Linked DNA regions of Danio rerio. The protein of the gene in region 3 purifies or fractionates together with the protein of the main gene of each other region. This does not show direct contact. Links are inferred from orthologs where the notes say so. Each region holds a gene or a part of one and is shown on either strand. Other genes may lie near its edges.

Region 1 (6,730 bases), about 3.8 Mb from region 3:
TATTACATTGCAATTGAATTATAAGTTTTAGGAACAACAAATAATAACTTTACTTCGAGTTGATCATTAATTTTATAAGTGGCTTATATGAAAGGCAAAGTCCGCTAGATTATGCTTATTTTACCAAAATTAAATCATGCTTTGATGTTTAATTATTTAATTAGGACAGTAAGGTCTGACTTTGCTTAGACAAAAGTCTTTTCACTGAACAGAAATAATGTACAGTATAGAATATAAAGTTATGGTGCAGTGGAAAAAGAATTAATATAGTGTATGGCTCCCATGAGCTGGGACAACTGCATCCATGCATCTTTGCAATGGCTCAAATAACTTACTAATAAAGTCATCTGGAATGGCTAGGAAAGTGTTCCTGCAGGACTCCCAGAGTTTACCAAGATTCTATGGATTCATCTCCATGTTACCCTACACATGCTCAATGTTCATGTCTGATGACTTGGCTGGCCAATCCTGGAGCCCCTTGACCTTCTTTGCTTTCAGGAACTTCGATGTGGAGGCTGAAGCATGAGACGGAGTGCTATCCTGCTAAAGAATTTGCCACAAATGTCTTGATACCACAGCCATTTAATGTTGCCATCCACTCTGCAGCTCTTGCACGCCCCCATACTGAATGTAACCCCAAACCATGATTTTTCCTACACCAAACTTGATGGATTTCTATAAGAATCTTGGGCCCTTCCAGGTTCCAATAAGTGTTCTGCAGTTTATGTGTTGAAAAAATATAACTGTTACCAATTTTCCAAATGATCAACTAGAAGACAAGTTATTATTCTTTACTCTTACAACTGGGATTGAGAACAATTTTCAGGTAGTGTATTTCCCAGCTATATCAACCTAGAAACAACATCTTTAAGCAAAGCTAAAAGCGCTCCTGCCAGACCTGGAGATTGCCGAATAACTCAAACATGGTAAAGCTCAACTGTTTATGTCAAAGAGACTTGTAAAATGAGCCTATTTCCAAAAAAAAAAATGTGCCCCTTTAATCTGAGAGCACTGGCAAGTCTACTGGAAATCCATGCTTCCCACAAGGGGATGGATGCAATGGACGATCTCCGAAATGTGATATGGTTATGTGAAAGCTATTGTTTTCTGCTAATCATCTTGTTAAAATCAAATATTAACAGAAGTGTATTGTATTCTGTATTGTTTGTAAACAAGAACTCCACAGGTTATGATGTATTACAAGACTTATCCTCAGAGATAATCCAGCATCAACAAAGACTTGCTTGAGGCGTTCATAAGAGCAGTCATGACAGCATGAAGTAAACAGATCTGCGCGAGAGCGGTTCACTTCAGTTGATGAACTCTGCTGCTGGAACATTTAGCTTCTTGACTGACTCATTTCCAGTAAAGCCTTTTCAGCAGGTACTGGAAATACATATGCTGCCACAGAAGCTGAAGGTATGCGTGTGACAGTGCTGATTTCGACATTGGAATATTCTAAAATGTGGACGTCTTAGAGATTCCAGAACTTTCGAACGCAAACCTAAACTTCTGTAAAGGATAGATACTAGTTCTAGTACTAGTAACAACTGGTGACAAATTGACAAATCCCACACACTTACAGATTTTCAGCACTACTCTGAGTCACTGAAAGGAGTTTCAAAGCCTGTAAAAAAACTCAACTTCTAGGGAGTGACAAAAAGTGGCAAATATATGAGGAAAAAATAAGTGCTTAAAGGAATAGTTTAGAAAGAAATAGAAATCAGAAAGTTCTGATGAAAGAAATTCATAAAAGTTTGGAACCACTTAAGGGTTGGGAAATTAAAAGCTTTGAGATACCAAGAACAGCAGCATGTGTAACCATATATTAGACCTTAATCACCACAGAACAGCTGTCACAAGAGATGAACGGTAACCCAGTCCAAAGGAGAAAGGCTGCTTTCAAAACCAACAACAACACTTGACACGGGACTAAAGATAGAACAGGCTCCTCTTCAAGAGAGGGGGAAAAAGACAAGTGGCCACTATGAATGAAGTTCAGTCTGAAAATGCTTCCAGTCCCCATACATTTCCACTTCTTGAGTTTAAGGGTTTGTATGCTTGTTAGGAAACCATAGACAGTGCGGTTACGTCTTGCTCCTGGCCCCTATTTTCATGGAATTTTCACTTCCCAGAATGTGGGTTGTGAATAAGTCATTTCTGAACCCACCTCCTCTTTCTACTGAAAATCCAGCTACCTATTTTTTTCATATGCTTTTCCTATTCTCCAGCCACTTACAAATTATTAAAACACACTTAAAGCTTTCTACACCCTACAGCATAGTTTGAGCAACTAAATAACTGCTTGTTAATAAAACTATGCACTTCACGGTCAGATTAAATATTACTTAACTTTAGACACTCAGCAGTACCTGTGGATTGCTGCAGGTAGGCGCCTTTCCAATGCTAATATTCCTTTCGAGGATGGGACTGTGCTCGCCGCCCTGGCTGAAATAAATCTTAAACTTCGGTTGTTGGGAATTCTGTTCCTTCCTAATTTTGAAAGTGCAACCTTGAGCACCATTCTCAATAAAATCACTCTCCGTTTCCATTTCTGAGATAGGAGCATGAAGGTTTGGCATTGATCCAAGGCGTGAAGGAGCTCCTCTAGGCTGCAATGGCTGTGACGTGCTCCGCTCAAGTCGAATCCTGGGGTACCGCACCAAGCGGGAACCTTTAGAACCTGTGATGCCTAAATCACTCACGTCAGGCTGAGAGGTAGAGCTTGGTTGCCGTCCTTGGTCCTTTTGGAGCTGAAAAATTAGTCTTTGTGCACCAGGACCTCTGTCTGAGCATTGCTGGACAGACCAATTGTGCCCATTGTGCCCATCCTCGCTATATGGCATAATCCTGAACTGCTGGACATCCGAGCCATCTGCAGATCTTCTTCTAATACAGACACCTCCAATAGTGATCCCTTGAGGATTTCCATGGGTATAACCATTTTGACCATCACATGGCCGGACACAAAAGACTTGCCTCTTAGGTTCAGTATCTTTTTGAGTTTGTTCCACATTTTGGCAGGATTTGTAGTAGGTTGGAGGTGGAGGTAAGGGCAAACTTTCACCAGGTTCAGTGTATGGTGGAGCTGGATCCTGGGGGTACGCTGGAGGTGGATCAAAGGGTAATGCATCTTCATGAGGGGCAGTTGTGCGTTGAAGAGATATTTGAACAGAGGTGCTCTTGGTTGTCCGTGACTCAGCTTGACCCTGGAGCTGTGGGATGAACATGGAAGAGCTTCGCTTTAGAGAGGCATCCGAACCAACAACTGTGCCTGGTTCTGGACTTTCTGCATGTCCTCCGTTACGTGGTTGTGCATGGACCACCATGGCTCCTGTACTGTTGTAGCTTATGTCACCTTCCTCCTCCACTGTCCCATTCAGCTCTTCCAACTCTGGAGCAGTGTTACTGCGACCAGATCCAAAATACAACCGAAGCCGGTGAGACATTCTCCTGTCCGCCCTGATCTGTCTCTGTCCAGCCTTTGCTGGATCTGTCTCACCCACTGTTTAGTGTGTCTGTTCCCCTTTTGCTCTTGCTCTCTCTGTCTTGCTCATCCACCCTCTTTCTCTCTCTTTCCCTTACTCACAGACAGAGGCTGCGTTTCGTTTCACAGCTACCAGTGAAGCTCTGCCAGGGAGCTTAAAAGTTCAACCCACAAGCTTTAGAGAGAGAGGAGAGAGAGCGCAAGAAAAAGCTAGAAAGAACCAGGGATAGGAAAATCAAAAAAAAAAAAAGAAACTACCCCATGTGTCAAACTGTTCAAGCTGCAGTCTGATAGCGACAAACAGCAGAAATAGCCCAAGTGGCAAGCTACATTCCAGGCATGATTGGATAAGGACGCCTGGTGCTCTTGAAAGCAAAGGTGAGGGTAGGGTGGCCGAAGTCATGTGATCCAGTAGGCACCCACCCCCACTTCTCGGATAGACCCAAACAGCACTCTCTCAGCTGCTACTGATCTGTCAGAAGGACCTAGACCGCCTGGGGTGGGATGAGAAAGAGAGGGATCACAGCTGACTCAGAAAACACTCTCCACAAGCTCATAATTCTTCGTGCTCATCCCACACACAGGGCACACTGGGCCAAGCCAAGTTGGGACAAGGTGCTGTGCACATCTCAAACTGGTAAAGTAAGAATTTAGTCTTACTTATTCCTATATACTTATATACATATAAAACACAAATCAAAGCACGAAGAACTTCATCAATCAGACATATATGGGTAAACAGAAGAGGTATTAGAGGTCTACCACTATCGTTACAGACATTCTCTAGCAGGAAATATCCAGGAAAAGCTGGAAAAACATTGCAGCTTTTTATGTTGGGGCCTCTGTACAGACATGCAATATTTCTCAAGCTTCTTAAGGGTTGGCATGGCTGAAATGTTCCGTCTGCATTAAAGAAAAACACTTAAGGGAAGTTTTAGACCACAAGACAGTCACTCTCTTTCAACACAATAACAATGATTCAGGATGCAGCCCGGGGCAAAGTCTTGAGAGCAGTTGAAGAAAAAAAAATCTACAATCAAGACCACTCCTAAACTAAGTCAACAAAGCAATTTAACTTTGTGCAGGTTAAAAACCACCTCGAATTATTCATTGGGGGAAATCCTTAAAGTGACAGGAAATCAGACTAATAACATACAGCTATTACTGCAAATAATACATTGTTCACAAAGTCTGTGTGGGCTGAATAAAACCCATGTGTTTATTTTTTTTTATCACAAACACAATCTGCCAAATCAGAATCTTTTTATCAGTATCTAAAACCCTTTGCTCACAGGTATGAGAATACCACATTTGACACAGACTGCTGACAGCCTGAGCAACTTGCTAAAGCCAATGTTAAAATCCAGAGAGAGCATACAACACTGTCTGTATTCAAATTCGATGAGACACTTCATACACCCTGATTTGTCAAAGGAGAAATAGAGGGCAAAGGCAACTTAATTCAAAGGAGTATGAAATACTGCATGTATAAAAGCCAACAACAACATCCATGCAATTTAAATTAGACAATGAGTGTTAAACAATTTAATGAACATTTTAGGTGGATATTCTGACTTTTTATATGATTTTCAGCTATTAGATGATAAAATAAGTCTTCTTGTACACATCAACACCATTAGAACTGTGTCTTTTCAGCAACACCAGCCTACCCTAAACCATGAAGTCAGTGCAGCATCTTATTGGATGGAGTGAGCGAGACAGACTGCGACTGAAAGAAAGGCCTTGATTGTGAGAGTGTGGGCGCTTTCTAAAGGGGGCATTGTTTTGGAGGGCACACAAGCCCTGCAGTGGGTGAGCTGCGGACAAAGAACGGAGACATCATGCCGTAAGCATTAGTTTCACAGTGCCAAGCATTCTGGGAATTACGACAGAGGGCTTCCACAGCGCAACCTACAAAAACAACGACTTTCCAAAGCATTTATTTTGCATGCATTTCTTAAAAACCAAACCATTAATAACCTAAATAGTATAAACATTGGATTGAATAAAGGCAAACTGGTGATTTGACCTGGCTGGGTTTTCAAAAAGCACATTCGCTCACCCACACGTCTCTGGAGTGGTTGAGTTTCTCCATGGCGGCAATTTTCAGATAAATGCAATCTACAAAAACTGCTTTGAAGAATTGTGCAAATTATATTTGTTTTATTTAATGCCATGTTGGCAACAATATCCATTTCCATTGCAAAAAAACATTACATTGATAAATATACAATAAAAACCCCAAAACAAATAAACAATTTAAGATTTTAACGTTATATGATATGATAAAAAGTCAAATCTTTTCCTGGTTCATTTTTTTAATCCATTTTCTTCATTCATTTATTCATTTTCTTTTCGGCTTAGCCCTTTTAAAAATCAGGGGTCACCACAGCGGAATGAACCACAAACTTATCCAGCATATGTTTTACTCACCGGATGCCCTTCTAGCCGCAACCCATCACTGGGAAACACTCTTGGACACTCATACACTACGGCCAATTTAGCTTATTCAATACACCTATGCCACGTCTTGGGGAAACTGGAGCACCTGGAGAAAACCCAACACGAACACTGAAAGAACATGCACACTCCAAACAGAAATGCCAACTAACCCAGCCGGGGCTCAAACCAGCGACCTTCCTGCTGTGAGGCGATTGTGCTACCCACTGCGCCACCGTGACATCTCCTTCTTGTTCAGAACCTAATAAATATGAACTCATCAGCACTGGAATTTGGGAACCACCATGCTGTGAATTCATTACAACTAGCTGTTAAGCGGTTTAAAGATACAAAAAAAAAATTGCACAGAAGAATGTGGAATGACAAGGCCGCTCACATGCAAAAATACTATAGTAATTTGTAGTAAATCCTTCAGTCTACTAAACCATAATACAGTAAAATGTATTATACTGCATACAGTATATACTTTGGTAATGAAGGCTCCTTCATACTGTAGTATTAACAATATAATACTCTAGATTTTTTTTACTACAGTAAACTATAGTATTGTAGTATAGAGTATGAGAGTAGTATGATTAAAGTGACAAAAATGATTACATTTTTGTTAAAACTACCTAAAATGTTCAAAAACACGTCTCACACACTTATTGCACTAAGATTTGTATCTTAAAATGAAAAAACATCAACTAAAATGTGTTTCTACAGATAATTCAAGGCGTTTATTGTTAAACCTTCACTTCGAAAACTCCTTCACAGGGATCCATGTTTACCTTATCTTTCATA
Region 2 (5,923 bases), on a different chromosome or scaffold from region 3:
GATGGACACTTCACACGCTCAAAGACTGCAGGTTTGCTCAAGTAGCGGAAGGGGCGGAGCTATCGGGCGCACATGTTGAATAACTTTATATATTATGGATTGTGAAAGCAAAATTCTCCTACGAGAGTGATTATAGCGCCTCCCGATGGTGAATGCGGTTATACTCACGGCAGGTATTATTTGATAATTCGGTCGTTTATTTCACTGATTTGGCAACCGTCAAACGTCATCAGGGAAACGGTTTGAATTTCTGCTTAGTAAAAAAACATTAGTGCTCCATTTGAGACGACACTACATACATATACTATCCTGGTGAGTGTGTAAGTGCATAAGTACATAGTGCATGAGTGTATAGTGTGCCATTTGGGACGCAGCTATTATTATATGTGACTCATTCCAGAGTTGTGGGGACATTTCAAGCATTTTCCTTAAACAGGAATGATATATTTGCAGTGAAGTGAATCTGATAATAATGTAAAATAATGCATAATTCTTGAATGTAATAGGCAACATTTGCTTGTTAATTGCAGTTAAACGTTTTAAACCATAAAAGCCATTCTGTGCTTTAGCTCAAGATGCTAACCTTAAAAAAATAGATATTACAGGGCATGCCAAAAACAGGATTTCATGCATTTCCATCATATTATTGTTTTTAAAAATCTGAAATTCGCTGAAATTTCACAATAACAGAATTTACATATATTAAATATACAATTGGTGTATCCTAAACCAGATTTTTTTTTTCTATCAGTGCTTTACAGATCATTGTCATGACTTTTTGTTACAGACAAAATATGTCATTTTTTTAAAACAGTCATAAAATACATAATAATAATGCATGAAACAGATGTTAATGCAATGAAAAAATTACTTTGACTGATTTTTGTGATAATAATTGAAGCTGTTTGTTTGATTCAGGCGGTGGTGACTCAAAATAGGAGAGGCTTTGAGTTATAATAATAAAAACAGCAATAATCTAATAAGAATCCTTATTACTGTCAAGAGCAAGAATCAAGTGTATTCAATCATTTTAATCGTGTTTAATTGAGTTTTGTATAAATATACAATAATACTTATTGCGGCATTGCACTTTGGACAATCACAGTCTTGGCTCACAGGCATTTCCCAAACTCTGTATAGTGCAGCCCTAAAGGAAACGTTCATTTCTGACCCCTCTCTCCTTTCTCAGGTGACACCCTCGGCCCCGGCTCAATGGCAACACAGCCCAGCCGATTCCCCGATTACCTAGACGCCATCCCGGGCACGGACGTGGACCTAGGCACCCTTGAGGGCGAGAGCATGGCGGTGGAGGGCGAGGAGCTGATGCCCAGCCTGCAGGAAGCCCTAAGCTCCGACATCCTCAACGACATGGAGTCAGTGCTGGCAGCTACCAAGATCGACAAGGAGAACTTTCTAACCTGGCTATAGAGAGCCCGAACCCAGCACTACACCTTCTCTTTCATACCGAACTGCTGCCCAATCCAATCTGTGAAGGATCTGTAGATGCTTTGAGTCGACAAAAGACATTTCACCTTTTTGTTTTTGGTTCTCTCTCGTTTTATTCACAACATTTGGCCCAATTGGTTTTAAAAGCCGAACCTTTGGTCCTTTTTTTTATTCTTCTTTTCATGTCTGCATCCTCAAGGCTGGCCCATGAACAGACAAGTATTCACAAGTAGCAGAATCTCTCTCACGGCTGTACTGCACGTCGGCCCATCAGCGTGCGAGTATGTCCATTTTGTGTTTTGTTTTTTGCCTCGCAAAACTCCGACAGAGCCAAGTGGGTTCAAGTGTTTCACAAGCGGGAACGACAAAGACAGACGAATCCTGAATAAATGAAAGTCCCTGATCTCAACTCAAGCTACAATTGACTGTTTTACTTGATGCAGCGATGAGCCTGAGATACCAAACGAACAAAAGCGATGAGGAGGTCATATGTATGTGGGTTCAAATCTTTTTTTAACGCGTGGCTTTGGTTAAACAAATACTGCTGCTTGGCTGTGCCAGCATATCACACTAGATACTGTGTAATCAAGTGCCTTCAGATGAAAAAACAAAAGAAAAAAAAACAGTTTTTACACTCGAGATCATCGATCAAATTCGACGTTTTCTTTTACTTACTCTTCTTCATTAATCAAAGTATATTTCTTTCAAAGGTTTTATAAAAGAATATTATGTTGGGAATTAGGGTTTGATTTTTGTTTTGTTTCTTCTTTGAAGAACCCTAGCCTCCTTGTGTGTTAGTTTTTATTTAAGCCTCATTTTGTTTCTTGAGGGTTTTGGCATTCATTTGTGATCAAAGAACAAGTTTTTGCTCTCATAACCGCTTTCTTTTCTTCTAAGAGCTGCCTTACACTATATGAATAAGAACACTGACTAGAAAAACTAGCATTTCTGCTACGTTGTAACAGTTTGTTACCTATTTTTTATTCTTATTGTACGATTTTAGTATCTTAGTTGATGCTTGCTTGTTTAAGCAAAAATATCGTTCAACTAAAAAGCAAGGAACAAAACTATCAAGGGCACTTTGATCAAAAGACAGACGTCTCTGATATGAGCTCCAGCAGAGTCTGTGCCAGTTACGTTGATGGCGTTTGGCGCCGAGACCGATATCGGGCAGGAAGTGAAAGATTCTGATACGTTTAAAAATGGGTAGACCGAGTATGTTTTGAGGGTTAGTGCTGTAGATTAGCTTGGATCTGATTTGGTATCGATAGAGTAGACTTTCATCAAGTTATCATTTCTGTCAGGATTTCTTCCAAAGATTTCTTCGTGATGAATCTTTTCTCGAAATGGACGACGGGATCATTTATCCTTCTTTGATGTACACGTAAGACATAAGCTAATGAGAAAAGGTCTAACTGATTTGAGGAGGGTTTAATGAAGCAAGATTTGACAGGTCTTCTTTTGCTGGTTCTATGATGTCAGAAGTTTACATTAGTAGAACACTACAGTCTTTCCCGTTCAGAAATACAATATGAATTTTTTTAGTCTTGTTTACAATATGGTTAGCTTTACACTACGTGATTATAGCTTCAGAACTGGCCCGTACACTATATAAATATATATTTTAAAAGGTGAAGTTTTATTGCCTCAGTAGGCAACAATTGTATTGTCAAATATTATGATCGATACCTACAAGCTAGGCCGGAGTAATGGAAAAAAAAAGACAAGCTAAGAGAAGTTTCTATTTTTGCAAACATAGTATTGATGGCAGACTCTAGTGGGCTAAAACAGTGTTGGAGAGAAAGAGAGCAATGCAACAAAAGGTTTTCTGAATTGTGAGGGTATTGCACGTTTCTAGAACATTGACTAAACTGTGTATGTCACTTAAACTTGATTATTTGCTTGCTTAGTTTGCAACCGTTCAGATTATATAGTAACTGTTTACTTTTTGTTTTCTTTCTCTTCGTTTTGTTTTGTTGTAGTGGTAGTACTAATCACACAAGTTAATGGATTGGTATTTAGATTCCTTTAAACGCACCCAGAATGAATTTATATCCATTTATTATGATCTCGTTGTTGCTTTTTTTTAATCAATGTATGTGCATGTACTTTAGAACCTTAAGTTCTGTTACATTATATCTCTTGACATATTACTTTAAAATTGGCCTGGAATAAAGTATATACTTTGGTATTTACTGTCTGATGGTTGTTCATAAACGAGCAGTATTATAGAGTTATTGTAATTTGTGTGTGAGGAACGTCTGTATAAGGTTTGTTATGCAAAAAAATACTTAATTGGACCATTACAACAACTAAAGAACTAATCAATAGATAATCAAAATAGTAATTGTCCCCATATTTCTTTAACCCTTATGTGCTGTTGTTTTCATCGACTCTGAGGTGATATCAAGTCTTAATTTGTCCACAACTTTCTGTTTCAGCAAATGGAACAATTTTTGGTGACTAATCTTATTAAGAGGAAAAAATACTTTGATATTTACAAGAAAAACTAACAATACATTTATTCATTCATTTTCTTTTCAGCTTAGTCCCTTTATTAATCTGAGATCACCACAGTGGAATGAACCGCCAACTTATCCAGCACTTGTGTAACCCTTCCAGCTGCAACCCATCACTGGGAAACACCCATTCACTCTCATTCACACGCATACACTACAGACAATGTAGCTTACCCTATTCACCTATACTACGTCTTTGGATTGTGGGGGAAACTGGAGCACCCAAAGGAAACCCATAGGGATAACATGCAAACTCCACACAGAAATGCCAAATGACCCAGCCGAGGCTTGAACCAGCGGCCTTCTTGCTGTGAGGCAACAGTGCTACCCACTGCACCACCATGTCACCTTCAACAATGCACTCTGGGCAAATTTACTAGCCTTTTGTTATGTTTGTAGCTCTTTTTGCTCCATTGACTTCCATTATAATGACAGTTTTGATTGCAAATCTCTGACACCCTATAATCATGCTTTCTTTAATGTTGCTGGTTTTTCTTGTTAGGAAGAGGTAAATTTACAATTTTTACTCTTGATTATCAGTTGCAGAGCAAAAATAAAGGTTAGTTTCTTGACAAAAATTATATGGTTATATGAATTATAGTTCGTGTGACAGAGTGAGACCATTGGGCACTTCTATATTTTTTGGGGGGAATAAAGCAGCTCAACTCTCAGAAATTAGTAAACATAGTGTATTTAAGCACAGACACATCTGCTGTTTTACTCCATATAAAAAGCAAACGTTTTTGCACAGGCCTATCTTAAGAGTTAATGCTGCCAACTTATCATCAACAGAAATAATGAAAAGTTTGACCTCTTCCCGAAATAGAAAACACCAACAGTCAAGATTGCATGATTATTTGGTGTCATGGCTTTGCAATCAAAAAATGTCATAGGAACATGGAAGTCAAAAACAGCAAAAAGAGCCACGAATAGATAGTCAATTTAAACAGTACACAAAGGTTAAAAGACTTTTAAGTGTGCATGTTTTACATATTGAGTCAATCGTTAAAATATGGGGCTCTATCATACAACCGGCGCAAGGCACGACGCAGGTGTCATTTTAACGTTTTGCACCACGTTGTTTTAATAGCAAATGCATTTGCACTCATAAGTGCGCCCATAGGTGTTCTGTTCTAAAAAAGGAGGCATGTTAAGGCGCATTGCTGACGCGTTGTTATTTTGAGAAACTAAAATAGTCTATTCAATAGCCTCGCTTAGAGGAGGTCTAAAATCCAGCACAGAGCGTGTTAGTTGTGCGCCTCGCTTACACATTGCCTAATACACGCATTATGTAGAGAAATGCGCAAATATCTTTACAAATGAAAATGAATTAAAGGATTAAAACATTACAAAAATTATTTCTTTCTAGCCTACATAAATATAAGAAAAACAGCCTTCATGCCATCATCGTTATCATTACTAGCAGTATTATTTATTATATCCATATTTATATTTGTTTTATTAAAAACAAGCTTAGATTAAAACCTGTCAGGTTTTAGACCATATGGGGCACAGTATATGTATTTTGGAAATAACTCAGTTTTTTGACCACACTTCGTTATTATTGTTCATTTATTCATTTGCTGGAAATTAGAACTGAATTTAGAAATAGTTTTGAAACAAATGTTTGCGCTTAATAAACAAAATTAATTATGTATAGGCTAATGGATTTCTGTGCATACATCACGTTTCCCTATCCACGAGAGTGAAAGTAAATAATGAGGAGGCTCATCTCTCATTCTCACGCTGATGCTCTGTTTAACTGTTTACTCTCTTGTGAAGCGTTCATGGACCATGGAAAATCCAAAGCGGATTTTTCCATCCTTAAATAGCAAAAGTGGATTCTGACACACCCTTAATGCTTCTGCACCCTGTGCTTTGGACTTTGCACCTGGATCATCAAAATAGAGCCCATGGACTATAAATCTGGACTAAACAGACAAAAAATTTAATAAATC
Region 3 (6,942 bases):
TTGCGATATTTGATATTCATCTACACAGTTGGCAATCTCACATGAGAAATGCTCGTGTTTCCGGCGAATGCGTCAAATATAAAAGCCTTTACAGTTCTTGGCTGTGCGTGCACTCAGTAGAGGCTCACGCTAAATGCACACACATGGCTCGCGACTTTCATAACACACTGCTTGTGCGCTTGCAAAGTGAACCAAATGGGTAATATTTCCTGAGTGGACAGCGACAATGCCCATTGCAACAAACGTAACAAGTTGTTTTCTTGTATAAGCGGAAACGCAAGCAATCTGGCTAAGTGGAAGTATCTTTCAAAACTGCAGAAAGACAAATGAATAGTTTTTGACTGCTAGCTACTAACAAGAACATTACATCATCCACATCGTTATGCCAGCAGTCAATCACCTAAATTGGTATAATATTAGCACTTTTAATAAACACACATTCGGTTACATTGAAAACAGTATTTTTTCTGCAGTAGCCTAAATAAATCTAAACATTAAAAATGCTTTTACATCAGCCGCATTTACAAATATAGCAAAAGAATAGCCTAATAATAAACTATGCTTAAGAAATTATAAAAAACAGCTTATTTTTTACATTGCAGGATGCTCCAAAACTGTATTTAAAACACAGTTAACTCCCAAAAAACGTTAACTAAATTAATTAGTTCATTCTGTTTATTTTTTTAAATAATTTTTTTACCAAAAGTACCGATAAGAGAACCGTTAAAGTAGAACGTGGTATCAATAAAAAAAGTAATACTGTTAAAACCCTAATGATACAAATCCATAAAACAATATAACATTTAAGTTGTTACCCCCCCCCCAAAAGAACTAAAGAATTGTGTTGGTTTAACTCACAGTTATTCAAAAAGTCGTATCTTAGCTAAACATCATCCTATCCTAACAAGCCATACATCGATGAAAATCACATTTATTCAGCTTTCATGTTTTCATGTCATGAACAAGTTTTAGTTTATGAGTTTCATTTTAAATCTCAAAAAACTGACACGACTGCTCTTAGGGTCTAAAGTAACATATGGAAGCAGCATATTTGGATGCAAAGAAAACGCCCTTCAAACCAACTAGCACTTTTCCTATGCACAATGGCTCCTGGAGGGAATGCCACAAATCCAAAGTAGATGCAGGTTTTCCACATTTGACTCAAGGTGAAGGCGCTCCGAGCCAATTCCTAAAGTACCAACATGGGAACGGCAGGAAGTCCTAATGAATTAAAGTGCCAACAGACAATGACTAATCACACCAGTCACATGACCTCATCATCTGGTGATGTCATCTTTCACGCATGCAACTGATAAACACTAGAGAGAACATAAACAATGCACCAATCCACATTGATGGACAATAAAAGGTGCTTTCTCATTGTTGACAGGAACAACTGAGAGAAACAGAAACATGACCACAGGAGATCGCCTATCGGTTTTTCATACAGTGTGTGTCACAAATAAGGGTGGGGTTCCTGAGTTGAGTGAAAATGCACAACAATTTCATGCAACACATTAGTCTCAAGTGTGAACACAAACAATAAGTGGAACGGCAAAAAGGAAAATGAGCTTACGGAGTTGTTTCATTGGAACATCTCTTATGTCTGTCTATTAAGTCTCGCCTACACTAAACCCAACAGTTCGATGAAAACTCTTACAATGCGTTCTTTGTGCATATTCACACTGTGTAAAAAGCACCTTGTCTAACCTACTTTCTTATCTCTTTCCCCAATGACAAGCGGTATGCAAAAATTTGGTTAGCGGAGGGTGCGGAGGGTTTGGGGCTGCCAGAAGTTAAGATGTCTTCACAATTATGGCTTTTCTTTTAGATGTTTTGACAACTGACATGGTAATCAGTCTAGAGTAAAGTGTCTGTGTATGCATGTCTGTAACTGTAGTTATACACTTGCATTGATATTTATCTGCAACATGATGATAAACTCATATAATACAACAATATGAGGGACTTAGACAGCACATCATTAAAATCCATCAGTTTAAAAAGCTGTAATATTGATTTGACACGTAACAGCACAAATACACACTCATGAGAAAGGTTATGCCTTTTTTAGGGATTCACATTTTGCTAGTTTTTACTAATGGAGGCTGTGCAGTGTGGCATTTAAAAAATACTAATATTTCTATTTATAAAAAACTAAATGTCATTTTATAAATTCTTAAAAATATTTTTTGTAAATATTACAAATATTATTCAAAAGGAAATGTTCAGATTTTGTTTAAAGATGACCAGGGAATTCATTTGTACTAAGTAATTGTACATCAATGTATGCTGACAAAGACAATTATTATGGCGACATGAGAACTTTTGCGATATTCCAATTCCATATCGCAATTCGTAACCTTTTAATTTAGTATGATTTGCTCATCCCCCAACGACGGTTTGGTTATGGGGTGGGGTGCATTAAAACTGGGGTGCATTGCGGCTGGAAGAGTATCCGGTGTGTTAAAACTTGCTGGATAAGTTGGCGGTTCATTACGCTGTAGCGATCCTGGATTAATAAAGGGATTAAGCCGACAAGAAAATGAATGAATGAATAAATTCATCAATAAGAACAAATTTTGTTATTTCAAAAGGCTGTTTTTTTTTACTAACATGCACTAACATTTCTTAACCAAACTAAACAATATTTTATTTGTTTAGAACATGTCAAACCAAAACAATCTCACAGCAATTTGTAACTTTTTGATTTAGTGGCTAATTCGCATAAATTGTCATTCAAACAATTTAGTAAGATTTGCTTATCCCCAATGAAGATTGGTTTTAGGGGTGGGGTCTGGTGCCACGCTTGTTAAAATCGTACATTTTCCTATGAATGAACTTGAATTAGACACTAAACTGACAAAACCTAAAATAGCTACATTTCTTTGTGAGATCAGGCTGGATATTCTGTTCAAGCGACATGTTTTCTTAATGAAAAAATTGTTTACGTTTACTTTCTTTGTGAATTGATTTTGTGAGATTTTATTGCAAATCACATCCATGCTGAAATTGCTCAGAATAAGTGTTGATCTGACCATTTTTGTTTTCCAGAACATTCTCTGTTGGTTAGTCAAAGTGTTTTTCTAACATAAAATGTTCCCTTTAAATAAGAAGTTCTCTTTCTATTTTACAGTCTCTGTTACATAAAAACCTAAAAAGAACCTTCTCAGTTGTAGCTTTCCAGATAAATAACCAAATAACTTAACAAGAAACTGCGGACTTCAGAAATTTGTTTAAAAACTCCACCCTCTAATCGTGAAATTAGACATTTATGACAAACATTTATGACAAGTTCTTACATTTTAGCCTTACATTACACATTTATTTTCTTGAACGGGTTTTGTTCACTAAGACATAATTCATTTAACGTTTTGGAAGTACATTTTTGTGCTTATTAGCGGTCTATTACATAGTCTTTCCCTAAATTTTTGTCTAATGTTTTAGTACAATTGCGTTTAGCAAATGACCTCATGAGCGTCGCGTTTCTAAGCGCAAGCGTCGCGTCCTGGATACTTTTGCCTGTTAGTTCTGAATGTGCACTATTTTGAGGACGTTTAAAGAAGAAAACGAAGTGAAGACAGGCATCAAACCACACTTGTTGAAACGCGAACCACATACAGCGTGTTTCATGAACCAGAAACGACTCGGGTGTGATTGTGCAATCGGACCGAAACCAACAGCAGCACATGAGAAACAGGATGTACGCTCAGGTTAATAAGAAACAAGAATGAAGACGTCGATGCCCTCCGATAACACTGCTTAATCCCTCAAAATACACATTTATGAACAAGCACTGAAACAGAAGCGACGGATGCCGAATGTCAACATGCAAACATTCAACACGTTCATTCAGCGACACGACAATGTTGACAAGCATTGATTCAATACCGTTCATACGTGAACTGGGGAAACCCTGGAGCTTACCAACTGTGTAGTTAATGGAAATCATGTTCCTACTGTAAAAGACTGAAGATGTACGACTACAGAGCATCGCTTACCTTTAAACTGCAAGGAGTGGCTTGATTTAATTCTCACAGTTCCTGATATGGATTCACCGGGGTTGTAGACCACTTTGTTGTTAGTGAAAGTAATCTCGAATTCCTGAACCTTCCCCATGTCTTCCAGAAGCGCCTCTCACGCACTCGCGGAGGATGAGAAAAAAAAATCGACGGCTAAACTACGGGTGAAAGCAGCGTCCAGTTTGACGTCCCACCTGCGGCTCTCAAGACTCCGCCCATTTGCGAGCGCTGACGTCATCGGGATGTCAGTCATTCTGCTCTTTACGGTTGTTTCAAGTAATCGTGACATAATGTTTTCTTTCTTTCTTTTTCTTTCTTTCTTTCTTTCTTTCTTTCTTTCTTTCTTTCTTTCTTTCTTTCTTTCTCATTATTATAAAATAGATTAATGTTTTGTAGTTCAATAAAAGTTCATTACTAGGAGTTACTATTTATGTTTTAAATATTCTGAAACCATGTGTCTGCACATTTCTGCAAAATTTTATTTAAGGCCTAATTGTTACAGGCCTAACAAATTAATATATGAACATATCAAATGTGGAAAAATACTTACATTTATATCGTAGTGTAATCTTACAATCTGTATTTGTTCATTTGTTTATAATAGATATTTAATTTCTACTACTGATAAACATTAAGATTTTGTTTTATGCTTTAAATATCTTATTGTAAAAATATCTCCTATGTCAGTGTTAATCAGTGTTTAAAAACTGTTTATATATATATATATATATATATATATATATATATATATATATATATATATATATATATATATATATGTGTGTGTGTGTGTGTGTGTGTGTGTGTGTATGTGTATGTGTATGTGTGTGTGTGTGTGTGTGTGTGTTTATAAACAGTGCTTAGCAAACATGAATACACCCCCCACAAATCTTTAATTTAAATAAACATTTTCTATAGGATGCTTTATAATATTATATTTCTGCATATACATTAGTTTAGTCAGTACTGAAATGCCAAATCTGGAGCTAATCTAAAAAAAAAGTAACTTACAATAATAATTGAAAATTTGTAGCCCAAATGTATGTTAGAGAAGAAAAAAAATATATTTTTTTGTTAAAATGTTGTAGATTATAATTATTACTTTTGTTTGCAATATTTTGCATAAATTTAAATGTATTATCTTTCCATTTCTAAAGATGTTCTCTGACTATAATATTATTTTAATAAATGTATCTGTTTATAAATCTGTTTTGTTTAAATGCAGCTATATATTACCCATATTCACTGAGAAATTGACAAAAATATTCATTTTCAAAATGGAATGCACTCATATATGCTGAGCACTGTATATATATAATATAATACATATATAATCCATTATTTAAACTTTTTACCTTTTCCTCAAACATTTCACAATTTCACAGACCTGTTTTTTTTTTCTTTTCTTTTCTTTTTGCTCCACACTGTATTTTCTTCATAGCCAAGCAGGAAAATCATTAGGAATCTACAGCTCCATCTGTCTGGCGACACAAGCATTGATAAAACTGAACAGAAATCTCTTCTGCCATTGTTCTGAGAATAATAAATTCATCTCATGATGGGAACTGCACACCTCTTATCTGCTGAAACTGTGATGATTTCCTCTTGTTCTGAAAGGTCTGCTTGTGGTTCACATTCAGTTAAGCCTTAATGGAAAAACATTTCAGTTTTATTAAAGTCATTTATGCATGGGCTTTAAAAAAATATGTCAAATTGGTATTTTTAAACTAAACTTCTGTGTTAAAATGTTTTAAACAAGAGAAACAAAAAAAGTTTTTTAAAAAGTTTTTTTTTATTATTATTATTATTATTTTTTAAATATATATAAAGATGTAGTTATCTTACTGGAAAGTATTTTACAGATAAACTGAACTTTGCTTTATAAACCAAATCCAGTAATTACAAATACTTGCCTATGACGCCCCCTTATGGACAGCTAAATGAATAGCAATCAAACAAATGGGCGTTCGTAAACAACTTTAAAATAGTTTTATTGTAATCAAGAGTTATAGAGCCTGTAACCACTCCCATAGGTTTTCAGCTTTCTTCAAAATATTTTATCTTGGGTTCAACAGAAAAAAAATCATAAAGATTTATAACCCCTTGAGGGTAAAAAGAATTAATAGTGAGTATATTTTCATTTTTGGTGATCTAGCCCTTTAACACAATGTAACATTTTCCTCATCTGCACAAATCTAATTTTCACTCAAAATCTTTTGCGAGAGTCGAGGAGAGCACCTAGCCAAAATAATAAAGTTAATTCTGCTACTGCCTACACTGTAAAACCCAAAAAGTTAAGGTGACTCAATTCATTCGAGGAAACCGATTGCTACAAACCATTAAGTACAAAAAAAACCGAATCAATATAAGTACTGTGAACTTACTTCATATAGGTTTATTTAATTAGATATTTGATTAACTTATTACCTTTTACACTGAGTTCAAAACTCTTTTGAAATGAGTAGAATTAACTTTCAGTCAATTTGGAGTTCACTACGCTCGATTCCTTTGATAAAGCCGACTGTTGGGTTTAACAGAATAGCACTATAATTAATAATGTTGCTAATCATTTAAAGTATGCAAGCTTAAATTTGCATTAATTCCAATAAAATTCAACATTTGATTATTTCTCTGCCTTCTCTTCTATCATGCATGTGCGAACTATTGCACAGGTCACAGCATATGGGTCACAGTTGGCAGCAGGACGGCGGTCCTCAAAGTAGCCACATTTATTCAAAGCGACCCGACAAGGGATGCGGATGCTGACCCTACGATTTGCAACACCTGCTGAGAATTCATGGATGCCGGCGGTCACATGACGACCCGTGAGGCGACGCTTGTTATCTTCTCCACCATGTGGGTCAAAGACCCGAATATGCTCTTCATGCCGCCTACTCAGTTTCTCAATGGCTTCCTCAAT
Region 4 (6,146 bases), on a different chromosome or scaffold from region 3:
AACCAGCCCATGTGGCACCATGCCACGATCACTCACTGAAATCCCCTTTCTTCCCCATTCTGATGCACTGTTTGAACTGCAGCAGATCATCCAGACCATGTCTACATGCCTAAACGCACTGAGTTGCTGCCATGTGATTGGCTGATGAGCAGACAGACAGGTGTACCTAATAAAGTGGCCAGTGAGTGTACATTACTAGTCAAAAATTTTGGATGCACTTGACCATTTGTTTTTCATTAAAGTAACTTTCTGCAAAGCTAAACTGCAAAATGTCTGTTTTTAATCTGGTTTCGGTGTTAATCATTGTTGGGACTAACAAAAAACTGAATAAATAGATATAAATTTTACATTAAACATTAAGTTAAAATAGTTTCCTGAAAACAGAAGTGCACACTAGTTATAACAAAGTGGACAGATATTATTGGAATCACTTTCAAATCTTTTCATTTCTTTTTCAACCAAAGAAAAATGTGACAGCCAATCAGAATCTAGAATCTTAAAAGCTTGAACGTTTCAAGTAGCAGAAGACAAAACTACAGTGTGCTTTAAATGAGCAGGACAATTAGTGCCGATCCACTTTTTCCCTTAACAGTTTTTTTCATTCATTGGTCTATTTTTTCCTCAAGTCTTGTTAAATCATAACGTTACATTACAATCTTTGATTTGAAGCAAAAAGTATATAAAAATGCAAGACAAAAGGCAAAACTACAATCCCATGATGCACTACAAATAACATTAAAATGAAAAACAATGAAGGAATATAAAAGTATCCATTTAAAGTTGTTGGCTGTATCTGTGGAACCAATATATTTCACTTTATTGTAAACTATGCATACATATAAAAAACGTAAGCATGTTGAGTGTAGAGAAAGTGGCTTGATTACATTATTCACACACAGCGCTTCTGCAACCATCTTACTCAAGGAAATTTATGCACAGCATCATGGGTAATGTAGTTTTGTTGACAATGCAAACAGATGGGTAAACAAAAGCTTTCACAATATCTGAGCTCACAGCAGGCCTGTCTTTAAACGTTTATCAGTTAAAGTTCTGGTACTACTTTATTTTCTTTCCAATAACCAATTAATTCCCCATTATGATAAAAAGTGATAAAGAATAAGCATGTCCACATTGGAATGTTTTTATCCCTCTCCTTTACCTCTTAGTAGCGAGTGATCACTCATGTTCAACGTAAAATCAGTGCAGAAGGATTTAAGTGCCCAAAGTTTAATATTTTCAACACCTCGTTTGCCTAATAATGAGCTTTGTTTAACAAGCACAAAACATCTTTACTCCGTTACAGAAAGCTACTCACTTATCCTTCCAATCCAAGAGATGGAAGACAAGAGCTGTAAACAAAACGACAAACTGAAAATTCACATTTCATGGTTTCCCTCAAACAGAAAATAAAATCTTTAATGGGGGTCTTTACTCGCGAGCCATTATGAGACAACAAATAAGATTGTAATTTATTGGTAGAAAAGGGTCAAGGAAAATAACCATAAAAACCATGACAAGAAAAACCCGGCTGACTTTCACTTTATAAATAAATCACTTTCACTCTTGCATAAGCTAAGTGTTTTAAACGTAACATTTAATGATCGTTGTGCTCACGCACATCCTTCAAATGACTCTCAGCTCCAGGAAGGCTACAGAGCAAATCCTATGACAATGTTTAAACATTGACAATGCATCTCCGCTTATCTGCAATCAGCATAACGCTGCAAATGAAGTTCAGAGTCAAATTTCATATACTTGATTGTTCAGAGGAATAGTTTCACACTTAAAGGTTCAATGCCAATAATGTATTGACTGCGCAGGACCACCTCCTGTCCAATTCACTCCAAAACAACAAGAAAGGAGAGGGAAAAAAGATGCACTCACATTTACAGACACACCGCTCGCACAAATAAGAGGTCCGGGGCTGCAGCAGGTTTTAATGCTCTTATGGAAGGCCAGAGAAATTGCACACATGGCAGTGTCCAACACACACCCTGCCCTGTCATCTCAAAATCTCAGACTCTCGTCTTTAACACGTCGATCAGCAGTAATAAATAAAATTTTATCTTTAGAAGGCTTTGTTGGGCAGGAAGAAACGAATACATCCTCATCACCTCCATTACAGCCTAAAGTTCCTGTGTGTTTCGTCTGCTAACAGACTAGACTCTGACAAGAAGAAATGCTACATCAACAAAAGTTTCCAACAAATAGGGAAGAGAGGGGGGGAAAATAAAGAAGAAAGCAGCATACTGTAAGTCACGTTCATGGTGGGGGAAAAAAAATCTACTCGTCTGAATCAAGGTCTTTGGGAAGACTGACCAGAATCAGCATAATCCCATCGATGTCCATCCTGACTGGACTCATGTCATAACTGTACTGGGATCAGTGTGTTTAAAGGGAGCGTGACAGGGTGTGGTGTGGAAAGCAGCTGGTTTGGTGATGCACAGGGTGTCATGATAGCATAGTTAGAAGTCTTCAGTGCATCGGCCTCTAGGCTGCGTCCTCTTCAGGCTGGTTGTCTTTATAGACCTCTCTGACCAGCAGCGCTCGAGTCAGGAGCCTGCTCAGCACACTCTTCTCCAGAGGCGTCGAGCTGAACCACAGCGGACTATCCGACGACGCAGACACCTCTGGCTTCATGTAAAAAAAATCTGTCCTCTGTCTCACAGACTCTGGGCTGAGGAGAGAGTAAGAGAGAAGCGTCAGACAAATAGTTCAGAAAAACTATTAAAGTTCAGCAAATCTGGCTAAAACCAAAAAGACTATGAAGATATGTCCAAAATGTCCATCTTTGATGTCGAATCTTTTCACCAGCAGCAGTTCTAATCATATTAATAATAATCAAACACTCAGTGATTTTCAAAGGCAACCCCTTGCTAAAAAATGCTGATTTGTTTACAAAATGGTAGCTTCATACGCAGCACTGTGCTCACTGTCATCACCTGTGACTATAGTCAAGATGTTCCCCTGTTATGATGAAATGTCCTACACGCTATGAAATGACACGAGCATCATATATTTTTTAGATTTGGCTGAGATAACACCTGTGTTAGACTGTAAATCTAAGACAGGGGGGTTCTCAATCTCGGTCCTGGTGGGCCGGTGTCCAGCAAAGTTTAGTTACAGACAAACTTGGGCAAGCTAATCAAGCTCTTACAAGGCTTTCTAGAAACATCCTTGTTGTGTTGAGGTGTGTTGAGGCAAGTTGGAGCTAAAATCTGCAGTACACCAGCCCTCCAGGACCAATTTTTAGAACCCCTGCTCTACCAGATTTTAAAACGTTTTAATGAAAACAATAAGGTGTTTAGTGGCTTCTGAACTTCTACGTTAAAAAATAAAAAAATACAAGCTCACTTTTCAAACTTTGTACAAAAAACAAATAATAAAAAAATGTTCATAGTTTTTACAAGGTCCTATGACCCCACCCCTGGTGTGAAAGTTACATGTGGTCAAGGGTATTTCTAATATAATTTAATTTCTGTCATTCAAACTATTACACAAATACCAACAACAGTTTGACAATCTCCATTCTAACAAGCCCACACAATTATTACTGCATGATTTATCCATTCAATTCCACAATAGGCATAAAATATGCATAGGCAGACAACAGGAATAAATAATAATAATAATAGAAAAGCGCACCATCTAGTATAAAAAATATATATTTTAAAGTCTTTCCAACAGAATGAAGACCTGGTAACAAATTTTGCATAATATTAGTTAAATGGCCTTGGGGTTAAAGCTTAACATTTAGTTTTGTACAAAGATTTTCTCTAATAATAATAAACAATAATTTCTTGCATTTATATAACGCTTTTCTGGACACTCAAATTGCTTTACACACTTTTTGGGGGAATCTCCTCATCCACCACCAGTGTGCAGCATCCACCTGGATGACTTGACGACAAGACTTGCGCCAGACTGCACACCAGCTGATTCGTGGAGAGACAGAGTGATGAAGCGAATTATGATATGGGGATGTTTAGGACGCCAGTGGGTTAAACCCCTACTCTTTTTGGAAGGACATCCTGGGATTTTCAATGACCACAATTTTACATCTCATCTGAAAGACAGCACTCACTGAGCAGTGTAGAGTCCCCATCAATTTACTGGGGAATTTGGACCCACACTGCCTCCTACTGGTCTCACTAACACCTCTTCTGGCAGCAACCTAGCTTTCCCATGTGGTCTCCCATCCAGGTACTGCTGACCAGGCTCAGCCCTGCTTAGCTTCAGTGGGCGACCATTTTGAGTTGCAGAGAGCTAGTTGCCGGCTAAAATACATAAATTTTATAAATACATGCACCATTACACCCCTGTAAGACTACTACAGATCAAATTTTAATTTTCCAGTTCACTTAAGACACTCTACCCATTTATCATATTACCTCACTAAGAAAAGAACTGAACAGGCACCACTGCTTGACTACCTCTGCACCAAAGGTCTGCTGTGTCCTCATATTACAAGTGTCAACACCATGTTTCAGGATGTGAACAGCAATTGTTATAATCACTGGACACCACTCAGTTTAAAATAATTTGAACTAGCTGCATTCAAATCAGCAAGAAACTATCACAGTTAAAATAAAAGCTCTTTTTTAATATAAAATAGAAGCACCTCTTCATCTTAATATGTTGTGTAATTGCTCTCATTATGATTCCCACATTAACTTTATTACAGCGGAGTATAATTAAATACACATCATTTATCAGTTAACGTGGGAATGACAGATACATACTAATGTGCTTTCGTGTCACATCTCAGAATGAAGTATAAATGAAGTAGAGGAATGTACACAGGTGCACTCTGGCAATAAGGGGCAGTTGTACTTGTAGAACCACATTTTGGTGCACTTTAAAATGTTTCCCTTAAAAATGAGAACCGAACGTAAAGGGTTACTAAAAGAAAAATACAAATTTACAGAAAATTAAATTAAATACTATTTACAGTTCTGAAAAAGCCCTTAGTTCTTCAAATGCATCACAAATAAGGAAGATTTACGTCACTCACCACTTCGAAAGGTAAAGCTCATACAGTCGGCACTCATGCTTCTTAACAGGACAGTGTGCGGATCCCCCTGAACCGCTGTCTGAATCAAAATTTGAGTCACAGTAATCTTTACGTCTTCTCTTACTTCCTGATTGCTCTGTGAAAAACACGTACAAGACATTTCAGCAAACAGCAACACTGGTAAAACACATTGAACATTTAAATATCTAACAAGTTTGGGACATTTAAAATGCACAAGTAAAGCGAAACTACAATTGAAAAACACACCATGCTGCTCCTGTGAGATGGAGGGGATGCGTATACAGACGGTGGTCTCATGGCTGTGCGGTTTCGAGCTGCTTGGGCCATAGACGTTTGCAAATGAGAGGCGTAAGTGCTGTTCTGGGGTGCGAAGACCAAAGTATTTGGTGTTGAGATAGAATACAGATCTCAGCAGGACAGAAGGCGCCTGTTCTCCAAGCTGTCCGCTGCTCCACAGATATTGCTCTTCAACACGACTCCACCGAGAACCTCAAAGGAAAAATACTCACACTTAAACACTGGAGCAACACTGTTTTTAATAGGTCAAGCACACCATGTTAAGGTATTTCAAACCCTTAATTACATTTAACAATTGAATCAATTTGAAGTATCCATACTACATATGCAGGTCACTAATTAGTTTGAAATGTCCTCATAGTTGGATTGAGTCAACAATCTTTTTCAGAATGTGAACAGCAATGGTTATAATCACTGGACATTTTAAAACAAGAAAGATTATCAAAATGTGATCAAAAAGGTGAATATTTAAGCTTGTTGGATTATACAAGATGTGATTTATATTCTGGAAAATACAGTACAGTGATCTTTGCACATTTTCACACTTATAAGTGTATTTACCATCCGGAAGAACACTGGGTTGCCAGTCTTTGAGGAGCTTGTTCAGTTCCTCCCCAAACATTTCATACTGTGAGTCATTAAAGAGGTCATCTGTCCTTCCTTTGTCCTGCAAATGCTACAAATGTGCAAAAAATATATATGAATACACTAATGCATTGCAAAACATGTGGATTTAATAAAGGTGAGAGTGGGTCAGTTTTCAATAAGCAGTATTATGTGTCCTCATAGCAAAAGCATCAACATCTTGTTTCAG
Region 5 (6,233 bases), on a different chromosome or scaffold from region 3:
GTTTGGGTATCCCTGATCTAAACAGTCTCTGGGTCAATGCGTGTAAAGATTTTGAACATCTTGGACACTTAATGCTTCCAAACAGTTTGCTTCAGTGTAAAGTGCACATGTCTTAAGTAGTTCATTATGATGCAATTTACCTTCTGTGTGTGATATGATTGGACATGAATTACTGGACTGATTTTTCTAATCCCCATAAACAAGAAAAAATAAATAGTAACTGCAGGTTGAAGGAAAGTAGTGAGAGTAAAAGTACAGATATTGCACTAAAATGTACTCAAGGAAAAGTAAAAGTACACATTTTTAAAACTACTTCGTAAATTACAATTTCTGAGAAAAACTACTCAATTACAGTAATTTAGGTATTTGTAATTAGTTACTTTACACCACTGCATATCAGTGAGCAATCCAATTAGAGAAAATGCATGAAGTGACCGGGTGTAATGAGGCTCATTGACAAAACCACATCCTAATGTGAGGGTCTAAACATGGTCTTGTTTCAGGTGTGCTCTGGTGTTTGTGTCTCTGAGTGCTTTGGCTTACAGGATTAGAATGCAGAACAGAGAAGAAGTCTGGACTGGACAGGAACTTTGCACCAGGAGACTGAAGCAGAAGAGCCAGACGAGAGCGTGAGCTGGCCTGACCAATAATGCCATCCCTCCGGTATTCTAGACAAGAGCAGACATCAATAAACACAGACTGTACAAAACTACTCACTTCCCAAAACACCATCATCTGTAGTTGGATGGCTTACCACTGATGGACTGAGCCAGCACGTCTGTTTCATCAGCTGGAGGATCTTCAACTCTGGGTTCCTCAGACCTTTCACTGGTCATTGTCCTGCGAATACTCTGATACCTGCCAGAGAGAAATCACAGCAATTGTTCATGTAACAAAGTCTTCATTAATTTACCCAGATTTCAGCTTCTTTTATAACAAAAATGTCCATATTTCTATAATGAAAATGTTACAACATAAATCTTTCATTTTCTGCGGTTCGTTTTCCTATGGGGACCCGAGATAAATAAGGAATTAAGCCTAAGGAATTGAATGAATCTTTTTATGAATATTTTCACAGAGTATTGCATCTACACTGCCCAAATTCATTGTCATTTCCAAGCTGAAGGATATGATGGCTTTTTTCCCACCTATAGTTTACTTAAACTGCAATCACATTCCAATATAGTCTGAGTGCAGACCTGCACTTACACTCTCAGACACCTGAGACGGCACATAAAAACAGCAGTCTGTTTGCATTGCTAATGGAGACAAGTTTTAATGCTTACATTTTTACATTTTATTTTGCTGTTAGATTTGTAATGTACAGTATATCCACAAAAGCATCAACATGCATTTTAGTGTAGTGCATTAATAATCTAGCCACATCTGCTAGTTTGAAAATGCAAAACTGCATCAAGCCAATTAAACAGTTTTCTGTGTGAGGACAATGATTAATGTGAAACTGTGTGTTCATACTTTGGACACATCATGTATGCCTGTATAGCACATTTTATTTAAGCATTTAATTTTAGCATTTTCCTTACATTGGTTTGTTATAGGACGTAAATGCTTCATGATAAATTATGCAGTTAAATCTGCATGTGCAGACATGCTAGTTTGTACATATGATTTATACTTTTTATAGTTTATAAATGGTTCAATTGTCATATTACATAAAAAGTTATGCTAAGCACTTTTCGGTATTTCAAAATGTTGCAGTGCCAGTTTGGTTGGATGTTGACATGTGTCTTCCTGAGTACTGTCCATTATGATACTAAAATACTTTTGCTTTTATCAAATACAAAATCTTTAAAACATCTTATCCCCATAGAAATGCAGAAGGAGGGCTGGAAAAAAAGTATTTTTGGCAGAGAGTGCAGGTGGTGAAGTGACGTCACTTGAAGAAAAAAGCACAGGTGTCTGAGACTGCCGGGAAAACCAGATCCAAAACCTTCTAACCATATTGTTCTCTGACATTTCGCAGATAAAATTCCAGTAAAATTCCCTGTATTTGGGAGTTTGGTGTAAAAGTGAAAAGTTGTTAGGTTCACACAAAATCAGTAGTAGCAAACAGTTACCGGCTTGATTGGAAAGTGCTTTTTGCTAAGCTGTGAGTTTTACATGTCTATGCTGGCAGTAGATCTTTTCACACACACATATTTACTGAAACGAAAGCTCCATTGTCACCATTGTCTATTGTTCAGTCCTAATAGTGTTCCAAACAATAAATCAGGATTATTTTCTGACAGAATTTCTATTGAAATTACAAGATTTAACAGATTTTCCAGAATTCTTTTCATTCATTTCTTCATAAATTTTCATTTTTGCATTGCCCTTGAAATCATTGGAAAATGAGAAAGTAACCTTAGAGTAACATTAGGAGAAGATTAAGCTTGCTGGTGTGTCCTTTACTGTGTAAAATGAGATTTTCAGCTCAGTAACATTTTAAACCAGTCCAGTATTGTTCTAACCTGCGGTTGAGTTGTTCCATCTGCAGAATGGAGCTGGAGCGGGTCAGACCCTGTGGAGCCGGAGGGCCAGTGGGTCTCTGCCATGTGGTGGTGCGATTCACGTGATCCACAAAGAAGATACGACCATGACTGTCAATACGAGCCTCCCAGTCTGAGGAAAAAGAGGGAGCAAATGAGAATGAGAGCATGACAGTGCCTGATTAGCCCTGATATTTTTTTGGCAAAATTGGCTTTACAAGCAAACACACAGGCAAAGTGAACATGCACATTTGGCACCCTTGGTAAATATGACCAAAGAAGACTGTGAAAGGTTTGTTGTTGTTTTTTTTTTAAACCTTTGCTCTCATTGAGAACATTCCTTCATATATTCATTTACTTTTCGGCTTAGTCCCTTTGATAATCTCGAGACGCCAGAGTGAAATGAATCACCAACTTATCCAGCATATGTTTTATGCAGCAGATGCCCTTCCAGCTTCAACCCTTCTGGGAAACATCCATACACTCTCATTCACACACATACACAATGAACAATTCAGCTTACCCAATTCACCTATAGTGCATGTCTTTGGTCTTGTGGGGGAAACGAGAGCACCCGGATAAAACCCACGTAAACACAGGGAGAACATCCACACAGAAATGCCAAGTGACCAAGCCAAGGCTCGAACCAGCAACCTTGCTGTAAGGGGACAGCGCTACCCACTGTGCCACCGAGTCACCTCATGGAGAACAACAAATTGCAAATACAGCACAGTTTGTGTGCCGCAATTATTGGCACCAAATTTCAACACACACACACACACACACACACACTCACATAATTAATCATTTATTTATCTTTTGCATGTTCTGATAATACTTTACATTTTTATTACTTTTGGGTAAAACACAAAAAAAAAACTCACCAAGGCCCAACTATAAATAATAGAAATATATATAAATAATAAATAATACAAAAATCAATAATACAAAATCACTCACAGAGATTTGTTGAGATTCACAACACGAGAAGTGGCTTTTAAAATAGCAAAAACACTGAAATGCCAGTTTCCACCTTCAGGGCAGTGTAGAAATATACATTTCTATGATTTAGTTTCAAATAAACAATAATCTACATGTAACTGAAAAGTTATATTCTTTGGTTTTTAATTTCATTCGAAACTGTAACAGCCCAGCTATGAGGGACGTTAAACCTTTGTATTTCTGAGCACGGGCTCAGCCAAGGTGATGCAAATGCTATGGGTGGCGTCTTAAAGACGGTGCCTTAGTCTTTGGGTGATACTTTCCAATACGTTATTTGATCACTGCATGCTACTATATATGATGATTAGATAAGGGCTGGGAAAATGCTGTTTGACTCCAATACTTTATTTACATGCTTTTGTTAGCTATCTCCACCTAGCCACCCCCTCCTCCTAAAAACATAACATAGACTCATTTTAGACTTGCGATAAAACTTGCGAACTGCAGACCTGTGAGAGACTCCAGTAGGCTCTTGCAGACTCGTTTACAACAGCAGTAATAGTCAAATTTGATGTTGTGTTGTGACTAAGCCTGGTAAAAAAATCTCCAAAATTCACAAATGAAACTGTCAAAAAGTACAAAAGGTTTCGAAAGGGTTTTAAGAAAAAGGTAAGCTACTCTCACATCTAATAATAAACTGAAACATACTGTTTTTTTTTATTTTTTATGTTAAACTAGCCTTTTTGCTTATATTTTCCAGAGGTGCCAATATTACTGAGGACACCTTAAACCACACTGAAGCGCATGCAGACTTACAGAAACACATACACACACTCACTGGGAGGTAAGGGCTCGTCCACACGCTGGTATCGGTGGATGTCTTGTCTTACAGATGGCAGAGAATTAACACGCTGATCTCCGTTTACCTGAGGAACGCCTGCAAAACATTTAGATACAATACATCAGGGTGTATTTTCATAATCTACTTGATTAACACATAAATGGCTGTGTGAATACCTAATTCTGACTCTGTCTCCGTAACAAAAGTCTCAGAGTCCACAGATTCCCCATCTCCGGATGGTATCAACTCATCTTCATCCTCCTGTGACACTCCTGCTGTGGCCTCCAGGCTCCATCTTCTGGACATGGTATCCTCAGTCACATCTTCACATTCCTCTTCCTCGTTGGTGGGGGGCTCTGGTTTTGGAGCCTCTCTCTCCGGCTCATTAGTTAGATGTGTTTCTTCAGCAGTCTCTGCAACCTCGTAAGTGGTAGGTGGATCGTCTGAGAGATCTTCTCCCCCTGGGTCAATGGCTGCCTCTGCCCCCTGCTCGGCCTCCTGTGAAGACCAAGTTCACAAAGACAGATTACCTTCTTTCTTTCTTTCTTTCTTTCTTTCTTTCTTTCTTTCTTTCTTTCTTTCTTTCTTTCTTTCTTTCTTTCTTTCTTTCTTTCTTTCTTTCTTTCTTTCTTTCTTTCTTTCTATCTATCTATCTATCTATCTATCATTGTCTGTCTGTCTGTCTGTCTGTCTGTCTGTCTGTCTGTCTGTCTGTCTATCTATCTATCTATCTATCTATCTATCTATCTATCTATCTATCTATCTATCTATCTATCTATCTATCTATCTATCTGTCTATCAGTCTATCTGTCTGCCTGCCTGCCTGCCTGTCTGTCTGTCAATCCATCCGACTGTCATTTTTGTTTCTACTTACATAACTTTTCATTTCTGATGTTTGATATATTGAGTAAATTAAAAAGATGAAAACCATGTGGTGCTGTCAAATCATTATATCAGATATTTTTGACTTTTTATGAGAAAGTATGCTGAGCAACTCATTATTTAATCCTTATGTTATTTAATCTTTATGTTATTTAATGTAAATTGTTAATTAATATTATCAAGAAAATATGTTATTTTTTAAATAAATTGTAACACACTAGACATTAGTCCAAATTATTATACATTTTGACTTAACATCAATGCAAAGAGAACATGTGTGTGGTGAAACCAGTTTTATAAAAAAAAATAAAGTTAGATTATTTCAGTTAGCTGCCAACATTTCTAAATTTGTTATGTAATAATTGTATGTAATTATTCAATTACATGTTAAGTGTTTTAGTTACTACAACACTATGATTTGTACTAAATCAATAATACTCAACCACATCTGTAAAAGATGTTGACATTTGCCAGCTGATTCAAATGTTGTCACTCGATTGAATGGGCATTATCAGCTGATAGATACATTGCAAAAATGCTTTTCTTACTTTGATTTTTTGTCTTGTTTCTATTCGAAATATCTAAAAATTCTTATATCAAGAAGCATTTCTAGGTAAATAAAACATAGTCTTGTTTTAAGAAATAATATGCCAATATTAAGTGATTTTTTCATTAAAACAAGCAAAATAATCTGCCAATGGGGTAAGCAAAATAATCTTGTTTTTCCTTTTGACATAAGATTATTTTGCTTACCCCATAGGCAGATTATTTAGCTTGTTTGAAGGAAAAACACTTCATTTTGGCATATTATTTCTTAAAACAAGACATTGTGTTTTGCTTGACTGAAAAACTCTTCTTGATTTAAGAATTTTTAGATATATGGACTTGAAACAATACACACAATCTAAGTAAAAAAAGCATTTTGCAGTGTATGGGCCAGTAGGGGCCTTCTGCACCCACTGGTAGGCTCAGAAGGCTGTTATCATCCATCCACAAGAATAATCAACTATAGATCACATCCGGCTGTGGCCGGAAGTTAATGAGAATTATTTATATTATGTATTAAATTTCCCATTAAT

The links.
Region 1: the proteins of arrdc1b (region 3) and nedd4l purify together in Homo sapiens (affinity purification with mass spectrometry; 3 studies listed by BioGRID and IntAct, counting the BioPlex papers as one, with this or other methods). This does not show direct contact. The link is inferred for Danio rerio from reciprocal best matches to the Homo sapiens genes ARRDC1 and NEDD4L.
Region 2: the proteins of arrdc1b (region 3) and yap1 purify together in Homo sapiens (affinity purification with mass spectrometry; 3 studies listed by BioGRID and IntAct, counting the BioPlex papers as one, with this or other methods). This does not show direct contact. The link is inferred for Danio rerio from reciprocal best matches to the Homo sapiens genes ARRDC1 and YAP1.
Region 4: the proteins of arrdc1b (region 3) and zmym2 purify together in Homo sapiens (affinity purification with mass spectrometry; 3 studies listed by BioGRID and IntAct, counting the BioPlex papers as one, with this or other methods). This does not show direct contact. The link is inferred for Danio rerio from reciprocal best matches to the Homo sapiens genes ARRDC1 and ZMYM2.
Region 5: the proteins of arrdc1b (region 3) and hecw2a purify together in Homo sapiens (affinity purification with mass spectrometry; 3 studies listed by BioGRID and IntAct, counting the BioPlex papers as one, with this or other methods). This does not show direct contact. The link is inferred for Danio rerio from reciprocal best matches to the Homo sapiens genes ARRDC1 and HECW2.

The regions. Positions count from the first base shown.
Region 1 is NC_133196.1:12,331,656-12,338,385, forward strand, and holds the start of nedd4l (E3 ubiquitin-protein ligase NEDD4-like), read right to left. Parts: upstream 3,770-6,730; 5' UTR 3,450-3,769; coding exon 2,373-3,449; intron 1-2,372. UniProt on the Homo sapiens protein: E3 ubiquitin-protein ligase that mediates the polyubiquitination of lysine and cysteine residues on target proteins and is thereby implicated in the regulation of various signaling pathways including autophagy, innate immunity or DNA repair.
Region 2 is NC_133193.1:40,205,282-40,211,204, reverse strand, and holds the end of yap1 (transcriptional coactivator YAP1), read left to right. Parts: intron 1-1,189; coding exon 1,190-1,428; 3' UTR 1,429-3,637; downstream 3,638-5,923. UniProt on the Homo sapiens protein: Transcriptional regulator with dual roles as a coactivator and corepressor. Critical downstream regulatory target in the Hippo signaling pathway, crucial for organ size control and tumor suppression by restricting proliferation and promoting apoptosis.
Region 3 is NC_133196.1:16,163,207-16,170,148, forward strand, and holds the start of arrdc1b (arrestin domain-containing protein 1b), read right to left. Parts: upstream 4,199-6,942; 5' UTR 4,120-4,198; coding exon 4,002-4,119; intron 1-4,001. UniProt on the Homo sapiens protein: Functions as an adapter recruiting ubiquitin-protein ligases to their specific substrates. Through an ubiquitination-dependent mechanism plays for instance a role in the incorporation of SLC11A2 into extracellular vesicles.
Region 4 is NC_133184.1:23,044,124-23,050,269, forward strand, and holds the end of zmym2 (zinc finger MYM-type protein 2), read right to left. Parts: intron 6,009-6,146; coding exon 5,894-6,008; intron 5,525-5,893; coding exon 5,282-5,524; intron 5,151-5,281; coding exon 5,015-5,150; intron 2,678-5,014; coding exon 2,491-2,677; 3' UTR 1,458-2,490; downstream 1-1,457. UniProt on the Homo sapiens protein: Involved in the negative regulation of transcription.
Region 5 is NC_133184.1:25,789,830-25,796,062, reverse strand, and holds part of hecw2a (E3 ubiquitin-protein ligase HECW2), read right to left. Parts: intron 4,771-6,233; coding exon 4,449-4,770; intron 4,369-4,448; coding exon 4,270-4,368; intron 2,623-4,269; coding exon 2,472-2,622; intron 859-2,471; coding exon 755-858; intron 669-754; coding exon 544-668; intron 1-543. UniProt on the Homo sapiens protein: E3 ubiquitin-protein ligase that mediates ubiquitination of TP73. Acts to stabilize TP73 and enhance activation of transcription by TP73. Involved in the regulation of mitotic metaphase/anaphase transition.